2 linked regions of the Rattus norvegicus genome follow. The protein of the gene in region 2 purifies or fractionates together with the protein of the main gene of each other region. This does not show direct contact. Links are inferred from orthologs where the notes say so. Each region holds a gene or a part of one and is shown on either strand. Other genes may lie near its edges.

Evidence for each region. Proteins that work in one complex are often made in the same cells at the same time.
Region 1: the proteins of Dcaf1 (region 2) and Cops7b purify together in Homo sapiens (affinity purification with mass spectrometry; 3 studies listed by BioGRID, with this or other methods). This does not show direct contact. The link is inferred for Rattus norvegicus from reciprocal best matches to the Homo sapiens genes DCAF1 and COPS7B.

The regions. Positions count from the first base shown.
Region 1 is NC_086027.1:94,702,286-94,707,238, forward strand, and holds part of Cops7b (COP9 signalosome complex subunit 7b), read left to right. Parts: coding exon 1-74; intron 75-2,768; coding exon 2,769-2,971; intron 2,972-4,561; coding exon 4,562-4,667; intron 4,668-4,953. UniProt on the Homo sapiens protein: Component of the COP9 signalosome complex (CSN), a complex involved in various cellular and developmental processes.
Region 2 is NC_086026.1:116,350,936-116,356,418, reverse strand, and holds the start of Dcaf1 (DDB1- and CUL4-associated factor 1), read right to left. Parts: upstream 3,387-5,483; 5' UTR 3,290-3,386; intron 2,930-3,289; exon of another isoform or gene 2,717-2,929; intron 1-2,716. UniProt on the Homo sapiens protein: Acts both as a substrate recognition component of E3 ubiquitin-protein ligase complexes and as an atypical serine/threonine-protein kinase, playing key roles in various processes such as cell cycle, telomerase regulation and histone modification.

The DNA.
Region 1 (4,953 bases), on a different chromosome or scaffold from region 2:
TGCCAGAACTGAGCGCAGCCCAGCAGAACAAGCTGAAGCATCTTACCATCGTGAGTTTGGCATCAAGAATGAAGGTACTGTTTCAAACCTTTCTTGTCTTCTCTGAACCTAGCTCAGGTGTCTCGTCGGCATCAAGGAAAGAACGTGTAACTTGTCTTCTCCAAAGTGCTTGAAATGTACTTGGCAGATAGAAGTAATTAAAATGTGTGGACAGTCACTCCCCATTCTGTTTTGGGAAAGAAAGCCCAGCAGCGATTGATTGATTCAGCAGTCTCTGTTCTGGCATGCTGTGGAACTTCATGCCAGGACAGCACTTTGCCATATTAGAGGGGCCTGCTATTTAAATGCTTAAAAAATAAAAAGGATGTATTTCATGTATATGGGTATACTGTTGCTGTAGCTGTCTTCAGACACACCAGAAGAGGGCATCGGGTGCCCTTTGCAAATGGTTGGTTGTGAGCCATCTCTCCAGCCCAAAACAAAGTTTCTGATTAAATGGTTTTTAAAGATGCATCTTTTTACCTGGGTTGTGGTGGCACACACCTTTCCTCCCAGCACTCAGGAGGCAGAAGCAGGTGGACCCCTGTAAGTTTGAGGCCAGGCTGGTCTACAGTGTTAAGTCCATATATCTTCATACATACAGCCAGGGTCTCTTTTTGACTGTTTTTGTTATGGTGATACAGACTCTATGTATTCACAGACTATTCTCAACTCACTGTGTAGCACAGGTTGACCTCACAGTCATGGCCGTCCTACCTCAGCCTCCCACATGAGGGTTGCAGGTGTATCACACCACACCTGTGAGAAGTAAGGCTTCTTTCAGCTGGTTAGCAACTTCCAGAATCCCCTAGTGCACAAGTAATTTTACTCAAGTAGGAGGAAAGACGCGCTGTGTTGGGTCGGGTGGACTTTTACTTATTTGTGATATGGGGGATTGAACTCCAGGCTTGTGCATGTTGGGAAAATACCCTTTATCTCTGAGCCACAACCTCTAGCCCAGGAAGGTAGCTTTCTAATCTTTGTGATTTTTCAGGGTTAATTGTATTTTTTTTTTTGCCTCATCTGCTCACTTTGTTTTTATTTAATTTCATATGCTAACATTAGGCCCTAATGTGTAAGATTCCCGCAACACACCTGCAGGTTCTGAGCCCAGCTGATTTAGAAGCCTTCAGGCAGTAGTTTACAGCTTTTAACAGAGAGGGGCCAGACTCCACTGATTTGTAGTTGGTTTGGCTTCACTTCTTCCTTACCTGTGTCTGTTTTTATGAGACTATACCTTTAAAAAGTTTGCATCTCTCTGTGATTAAGAGTTGTATGTTTGTTCCTTGATTTTTAGTTGCTAATGTACTGTTACCTGATCTAATCATAAATTTCTGGTTGTCACCAAGAATTTCAGGTGGGGGGGGGTTGGGGATTTAGCTCAGTGGTAGAGCGCTTGCCTAGGAAGCTCAAGGTCCTGGGTTCGGTCCCCAGCTCCGAAAAAAAGAACCAAAAAAAAAAAAAAAAGAATTTCAGGTGGGAAGTTCCTTTCTCCCTCTTTTCCTCCTTTCCTCCCTCTAGCTTGTTCTGGAGATTAAAGTTGGGGATTGGAACTCAGTGCCTCACGTGTATTTGTGTGGGGTGCCACCACTGTGCTGCACCCGTGGTCTGAATCAACCCTATTTTCTTGGGGAATGGGAAGACCAGGACCTTTTTCTCTTTCTTTTTTTTTTTTTTTCCGGAGCTGGGGACCGAACCCAGGGCCTTGTACTTGTTAGGCAAGCGCTCTACCACTGAGCTAAATCCCCAGTCCCCCTTTTTCTCTTTCTAATCATGGTCTTCTCAATCTTGGTAAAGAGTAGGAAGATTGTTTTGTTCTTTTGTTTTGTTATCATTTAATACTCACCCACCACCCTTGAAATTGCTATTTTCCTCTGCTCCCCTCTGCTCCCCTCTGTGCTCACTTTCTTTCCTGTGCTTCTGTTTACATAGTCAGTTTATTTCTAAACTAGAACTGACAGCTCGGGGTTTGTAGAATGTAGGTTTAATAATGCTCTGTTCTTGTTAGTCATTGGTTCAGGGCTGTTGTTGGAGATTTGATATTGGTCACAAAGGTTTGAGAAACAAGCACAAACTTCAGGATAACCTGTGATTGGTCGTTGTTGTTGGTGGTGGTGGTGGTGGTGGTGGTGGTGTGTGTGTGTGTGTGTGTGTGTGTGTGTGTGTGTGTGTGTGTGTGTGTGTTCGTTCTTTCTTTCATTCTGTTTTGTTTTGCCATGCCTCTTCTGGGTAAACTATTCAGTGTTAGTGTTTGAGGCTTGAACATTTCACAGTTCAGCATTTTATGTGAAGTCCAGAAGGTGGCAGTGTAGCACATACTGAGTATTTCTCTTTCCTGTGGAAGAATGTTTAACATCTATCTGTAAGAGTGTGGGTGTGGCAGCTGAGAGCTGGGTGAAGTCTAGGACATGAGACTAGAAAGTTACCTCCTTTGGTGCTGTGGGATCTTGTTGGGTGTCATAGGTTCCACAGTTTACCCGTCTCTCTTTTTTTTTTTTTTCGGAGCTGGGGACCGAACCCAGGGCCTTGCGCTTCCTAGGCAAGCGCTCTACCACTGAGCTAAATCCCCAACCCCTACCCGTCTCTTTTTATCTCAGATATTGGTGATTACCACTAGTCTGCATTGCTTAAGCACAGAGAGACAGTTCTTGCCTGTGTGGGTAATACTTGGATTTCTTTTTTCAATGCTTGCCAAGTGGTTTTAGAACTGTCATATGACCTATCCACAGTGTATCCCCTACTCTGTGCTGCTGAAGGACCTGGAGATGAGGAATCTCCGGGAACTAGAAGACCTTATCATTGAGGCTGTCTACACTGACATCATCCAGGGCAAGCTGGACCAGCGAAACCAGCTCCTGGAAGTGGATTTCTGCATTGGCCGTGACATCCAGAAGAAAGATATCAATAATATTGTCAAGACCTTGCATGAATGGTGAGACTGGGAGATGGAGGGAGGGCCTCTCTGCAGCACTGTGATCTTGAGAAGTGAGCTTGAGGTAGTCCAAGCTGGGGTCTTTGGACACTGAGACAGAGTGGGGCTGCATTGGTGGTTACAGCTGTGTGGCATTAGGAAACCTGGAAGGGTTCCTGGTGCCTGCCTTGTGAAGTTGACTTTAAATGCAGCTGGGCTGTAAAATGTTCATGTGGAGTTATAGGTCGAGTCTCTGCATTCTGGCTGTGTGGCACCAAATCGCAGCTTCTAAACATATCTCCTTATCCTCCCGTCCAATGAATAAATGAATTTAGTAAAAAGAACAGAGACTTTAGTATATTATTTTAGTGGGATTTGATGCTTGCAAAAGTGGTTATGTGTTCTGTAAGGATTTAATGAGCTATGTAAGTGATTTGGGGCTATGAAACCAGAGCTTAGGGAAGTGTGAGGAAGCTTTGAGGGAGAGCATTATTGAGAGTGGGGAGATTGTTCCCACATGGGCCTATGGCGTGCTGCATGGCATTCAGCAGACTGGGCAGCTTTGTGCTGAGAGTTAGGGACACTTGCCTTTGTTGTTGTTTTTTCTCGAAACAGGCCTTGTTCTCTAGCCCAGGCTTGCCTAGAACTAACTATAACTATGCATTCTAGGTTTGCCTCAAAGTCAAGATTTGTCCAACTGCCTTCCAAGTACCACTACACCCAGATTTTGTATACATAAAAAATATAATACATACATATATAAAATAGGCATTTTGCTTACATGTATAGAAGTGCACTGTGTGTTTATCTAGTGCCCACAGGGGTCAGAGGAGGGCATCAGAGTCCCTGGAACTGGAGTTATGGGTGATCGTGAGCTAGTGTGTGGGTGTCGGAAGCTGAACTTGGGTCCTGTATAAGAGCAACAAACATTCTAACCACTGAGCCATCTCTTCAGCCACCAGAAGAGAGTCTCAGAGCTCCTACTTATATGTTAGAAGGGGACTGGAAAATAAAAACACAGCAAAATATTGGACATATTGAATAGTAATGGACAGTGTGTAAATTTTCATTATATTGCTTTTCAAAAACTTATTTTTTGAGACAGGATCTCATTTTGTAGACCTGGCTGGTGTCACAGGCTAGCTGTGAACTCAAGAGATCTGTCTCTGCTTCCTGAGTACCGGGATTAAAGGCATGTGTCACTAAGCCCAGTGAGAAGTGCTTGTTAACTAGGAAATAACTTCAAATTCCGAGGAAAAGGCAATCTGTAAAATAGAACATTTACTTTTTCTTTTGTAGAAAGGGATCAAGTCAGTGTTACTTGTAGTTAGTCCCTCCTTCGGTCTTAGTCTGTAAAAGTGTTTCTTATGGACTGCAAGGACTGGAAATTAGAGCTGTATTCCAAGAAATTGCCCACAATCTGCAGCTGCTGTGCCCTTGGCCTGTGTTACATATTTAGATGACTTGGTTTGGAAGGAGGGAGGGGACTGACATGACCACCTGGCAGAGGAAGTCCCATAAAGTGCTGGAAGGATCTGGGAGGGAGATTCCTGAGCCTGTAGGAGCCTGCTTCCACCTCACTGTAGCTCAGGGCTGGGTTTTCTGTTGCAGGTGTGACGGCTGTGAGGCAGTTCTCCTGGGCATTGAGCAGCAAGTTCTGAGAGCCAACCAGTACAAAGAGAACCACCACCGGACTCAGCAGCAGGTGGAAGCCGAGGTAACTAGAAACGGAGCATTTGTTCCCCTCCTTAGGGTGGCCTAGGAATTAGCTTGCAGCGTCTTTGTGTTTGACATTGCTTTGCTGTAAATATACCAGGTAAACACGCCTTGGGGTTAGTACTGGAGTTTACCAGAGAATGAGCGGGCTGAGCGTGTAGAATGTAGTTAGTACTGGAGTTTACCAGAGAACAAGCGGGCTGAGAGTGTAGAATGCATGCATCTTCAGTGTGCGTACTGTGTTGCAGCTGCTGAGGGAAAGAAATGTTGGTGCTGTGTTTTAAAAA
Region 2 (5,483 bases):
TTACAAGGTATCATTTTGTTTGGCATGATATAGTGGGTATGCATCATTTAATTCATCCTTTGTTTTGGAGGGCAGGGATCTAACTATGTATCCCTAGCTAGCCCAGAACTCATAAAAGATCTGCATGTATCTGCCTCCCAAGTGCTTGAAGAATAACCACTAAAGTTTTTTTTATAAGTATCATGCAAAAAGTTATGACACACACCTAATGATGACAGAATCAATGGTCACCAAGATGGAAATATCCAGCCCAGGGCATTGAGCTAAGTAATTAACTTTCAAGCTTAATTTTCACAGTCACACTGTGAGGTGACTTTTACAGATGAGAAAATAAATTATAGAGGTTCTCACGACCACACAAATGACACATGCCAGAAAAGAATTGATGATTTAAAAGAACTCAAATCCCAACTCGCCTGAAATGTCTGTGAATTCTTATTTAACTTCACTAAATATCAAATTTTTGAAAAAAATCTCAACTTCTAATTCTATTAAATAGAAACAGTTGTGGGAAGCGAATGATAATTCCTTATTACAAAATATAAATTCTTAAATATATTTAAAATATATATTTATACGCATGGAATTTCCCTACTCATAAGAATATACGCCAAAGTATTTAGAGGTGATATGCCTACCAGCTCAAATTCCACAAAATTAACATAGAAAAACACAGCAAGCAGTTAACTATTGAAACTGAAGATTATCACTTATTTTCACTTTCCTACTTAAAAAGTTTGAGGGACTCAAGATGTAGCTCAATTGTAAAAAGAACTTAGTCGAGAACACCTGGGTTCCATCCCCAAAACTATTATCACCAAAAAAAAGATTAAAACAAAATGTTGGAACTGAACTCTTTTGTCAAACTGATTCTCAAATATACTGGATATTTGTTTTTGTTTGCAGGGTTTTTTTGGTTGGTTGGTTGGTTGGTTGGTTGGTTGGTTGGTTGGTTTAAGACAGGGTGTCTCTGTGTGGTCCTGGCTGTCCTGGAACTAGTTCTGTAGACCAGACTGAACTCACACAGATCCACTTGCCTCTGCTTCCCAAGTGCTGGGTTAAAGGTTTGCACTACCACCACCAAGCTCAAACCCATTGTTAAAAATGAATATCAAAGTGAAAAACATTATGCAGGATTGCCATCTTTGAATTTAAAAGTGTATGCATATCCCCCCTGAAATGAAAAAAATACCTAAAAAATAGGTTAAGTATTGTATGACAAGTAATGAAGTAACTGTGTGTATGATAAATGGTTTTCATTACACTTCACTCTAGTCTACCATTTCCCCACCGTTTTGCTAAGTTAAACCATGAAATAGGTCCTTTTCTAATACACTACATTGAATGGTCAATTCAACAAAAACTGTCCCCATATCTAAAACAAAGGCTGTATTAAAATAGATCCAGGGCAGGGGAGAAAAGGTTGGGGAAACCACTCCTTCAGGAAAGTTTTGAACCTTAAAGGGAAGCAGCTGAGAGGTATAGCTCAGGGGTAGGCCCTTGCCAAGCATTCTTCAGGGCCTAAGGTATTAAATTCAATTCCTAGTGGAAAGTAAAAAGGGAGGGGGGAGGAGAGGGGACGGGCTACGCAGAGACTATTTAAAAGGCCTTAAGGAAGGGAAAGGAGATTTCCTCTGAGAGAGGCCCTAAGTTGATCCTCAACTCCAAAAGGGTAAAGAGGGAGCTTCAAGAAAAAAGTTAACACTATGGCATTCAATCCTATGTAACTTTATTACTGCCAATGACTACTAGCTCCTTTACAAAAACATAGTGGTAATAAACCAACTCCAATCCCTTTAACAGAGTTCCTTTGATCACATTTTATTATTAAATTTAACAACTAACAGTTAGCAGTAAATACGATGCTCAAAAGATGTGTAAAAACTCCTCAAATTACCTTAACACCTAAAAATATATCCTCATTCGAAAATGGTTAATGAATAACTGTTATACACAAACATAAATCTTAAGGTGGGCAGTGCTGGTTTACACCTTTAATCCCAGTACTCAGGGAGGCAGAGGCAGGCAGATCTCTGAGTTCGAGACCAACCTGGTCTAAGCTGAGTTTCTGGGCAACCACGGCTACACAGAGAAACCCTGTCTCAAAAAACAAAAACATAAATCTTGACATTGAACTGAAATGTTTATAAAAGCCTTGAAGGTAAATGCCAGTAACCTCAAGGGGAAAAAGCCTTCAAAGCCCTTCAGGTGACACCATCAGTGAACTTCCTACTATACATTAACAAAGGGCTTGCAATAGGAAGACAGTGCTACAACAAATTAAAACGTGCTGGGTATCTAAAAGGCTTCGCCTCAAAGAGTTAAAAAAAACAGAGCAAACTTGGCATGGGGGCAGACACCTTTAATCTCAGCACTCTGGGTAGGAGGATATCTTAGTTCAAGGCCAGCCTACTCTACAATGAGTTCTGGGAAGGAAAAAAAAAAAGAGCAACGTAAGATAAACAAAACCGAGTCATTTGTTACTCAAAAACTACTACTTCACACACTCCACGACTATTTCCTCAACAAATGGAAAAACCAGAGAGTTATCACTGCAGTAAGAGGAAACGGACCGACACCTTCTAGGAACAGAAGACAAAGTATGGCAAACGTCCTTGAAAGCCCAACAAAAACTAACTAAAAGCCCTCAGAACAAGTGCCGGAGAAGCCTGGCAGGCAATCTGGGGTCAGACTCGGCGTCTGGGCACCCACATACCTCTCTCCCCTTCCACTCTACTGCATTGTAGAAGTGGGAGGGGTCCCGGAGAGCTCCGCCCCCTCGCCCGGTCCAAGAGGCGGGAGGGTGCAAGTGGGAGGTGGCTCGGAGCCGAACGAGGGAAAAGCCCGCCCAGGTGATTGAGGTTGGAGGCGGAGACACAGTCCCGGGAAGGGGTCCGTCGTGCGGCAGGGAAGAGGAAGCCCCCTCGTCTCGTGAGGAACAGAGACTTGGAGGTGACGAGAGAAATTCAAAAGAGCACCTCCTTCAGGTAGAGAGCATACCCTGCCCCCCCCCACGCCCGGGCGGAAGAGTTACTCTAAAGAAGCTTCATTACAAGACTGGTGGAAGAACCTGGAGGCCCCGCCCCCTAGCCAGGGGTCGGAAAGCGGAAAGTCTTGTCAGGCCCAGGGCCCAGCCTCCCCGGTGGTCCTGCCCACCCCCTCGCCGCCCGCAGCCGAAGCAGGTGCCGCCCCTCCCCCAGCGCGGCGCCCACTCTCCCGCCCTGCGGGCCGCGCGCTCGGTCTCCTCGTGCCCCTGACAGAGAGCCGGCTCCTTCCTTATCCCGCTCACCTTCGCGAGCGGCTCCGCCGCTTCTCCCCCGACCCCTCCAGCGGCCACGGTTCTCACACACCGCCTCTGGTCCCGCACTCACTCTCCCTCACTCACACACACAGCGCGACCACGGCTCCTGAGCGGCCCACATATTATACGTCACTCGCATGCTACGTACTGTGCGCGCGCGCGTAACGTTGGCGCGAGGCTCCCAAGCGAGTAGGGGGAGGAGCGGAGGAATATCAAAGCGCTCCTGGGAAATGAAGTTCCGCGTTTAAGGGCAGGGATGGTGAAGCTTGACCTACCAGTAAGCACCACTTTAGCGCGTTGACTTCTGGTATTCGTAGTTTTCTTTAATAAACGTGAATTGCTGTGTATTCATTGGCTGCCTCCAAAGGCGGAAGCGAAAAGTAAAGGAAGGAATGAATCTTTCTAAAATCCCCGCTGGCCAGGTAACTTTGTCCGTACCCAAGTCTACCCTGTGTCATCGGAAAGGCTCAGTAAGGCTCTGCCACAACAGCCTTAAAACATGCCAGGGTCAAAGAATGCATTTCGCATAAATGTATCAGAAATTACTGTACTCGTTAGACCGAAACTCATTGGTTTTCCTTTGTCTTTCTGTTAAAAACATATTCGGCAGGAATCAAAAACCATCTGTTACCATGTATTATATGTGAGGCAGAAAAATTAAAAAAAGCCCTTTGGCGAAAATAACTAATCAGAGGCCATCTAATTCAATTTATCAGTTTGAAAGTTGAGGAAAGTGAAACCCACAGTAAATGACTTGCCTAACTTCACAAACCAAAGGGAAGCAGCATCCGAAGGATCTGATTTTGACCCAACGATTCTGTGTGAGAGCATGGAAGATAACGATAACTCCACAATTGAGCAGAATCTTGACAAAACCTGCCCAGACTTATGCAACTCACTATTGTTCTTGGCGTTCTGAGTTGAGTTCTGTGTGTTTCCATAGAGCTCTCACAGCCAATACATTCACGTGGAAATTAGAAAACACTGTGAACCTATTGTCATGATCAGATTCTACGGCTGTTACTAAGCCTGTATCCAAGAAGTGGTAGTGGCGGTGGTGCAAGCCTTTAATCCCAGCACTTGGGAAGCAGAGGCAGACAGATCTTTGTGAGTTCAAGGCCAGCCTCATTTAGAGTGAGTTCCAAAACAACTGGCGCTACAGAGGGAAATCCTGCCTTAAAAAACAAATTAAAAGGGGCTGGGGATTTAGCTCAGTGGTAGAGCGCTTACCTAGGAAGTGCAAGGCCCTGGGTTCGGTCCCCAGCTCCGGAAAAAAAAGAAAAAAAAAAAGAACAAACAAAAAAAAAAAAAAAAACAAATTAAAAAAGAGAAGCCAGTATCTTAGGTCTCAGCTTAAGTCCATCACCATCCTACCTCACCCACCTGAGTACTCTGTTCTGCTTCCTCACTCAATTGTGTGCTTGGAGTAACAGCCATCCCAGGTACAAATTCTAGAAGGTGATGGTATGTAGCCCATCATCACTTCTTGCTCTTGTGCTATAATGGCCACTATTTAATTAGGCTTTATAGCAGACTTAAATCAAATGTTTTTAATTACACTCATTATTCTCAACACCAGAGCAGATAAGGCTAGCCAAATTTATGGAGGAGAAATCTAAAGTAGTAATGTTGAATGAAGAGTTTTACTAGGCACGGTGGGACTGGTGAGGCAAAGGCAGGTGGATCTGTGAGTTAGAAGCCATCTTTGTCTACACATTGAATTCCAGGATAGCCAGTGCTACGTAATAGATAATGTCTCAAAACAAAAAAGACAGACAAAAAGATACAGATTTGGGGACTGGAGAGGGCTCGGCATGAAAGAGCCCTTCAGAGGACCAGGGTTTGATGCCCAGCACCCACATGGCAGTTCACAACCATCTGTAAATTCAGTTCCAGGGGATCAGATGCCCTCTTCAACATACTTGTACACATAAAATAAATCTTTAATTTCTTTCTTTTTTTTTCAAGACAGGGCCTCAATCGATATCTAGCGCTGGCTGTCCTGGAATCCCCTATGTAGACCAGCCCTGGCATTGAAATCAGAGATTCACCTGCCTCTGCATTCCAAGTGCCGAAATTAAAGGCTTGTACGCTATGACCAGCTACATTTTTATCTTAAGAGAGAGTTCATGGTACCTACAATACTATTTCAGACAGCTCTCCTGCCATAGCTCCCTGGACT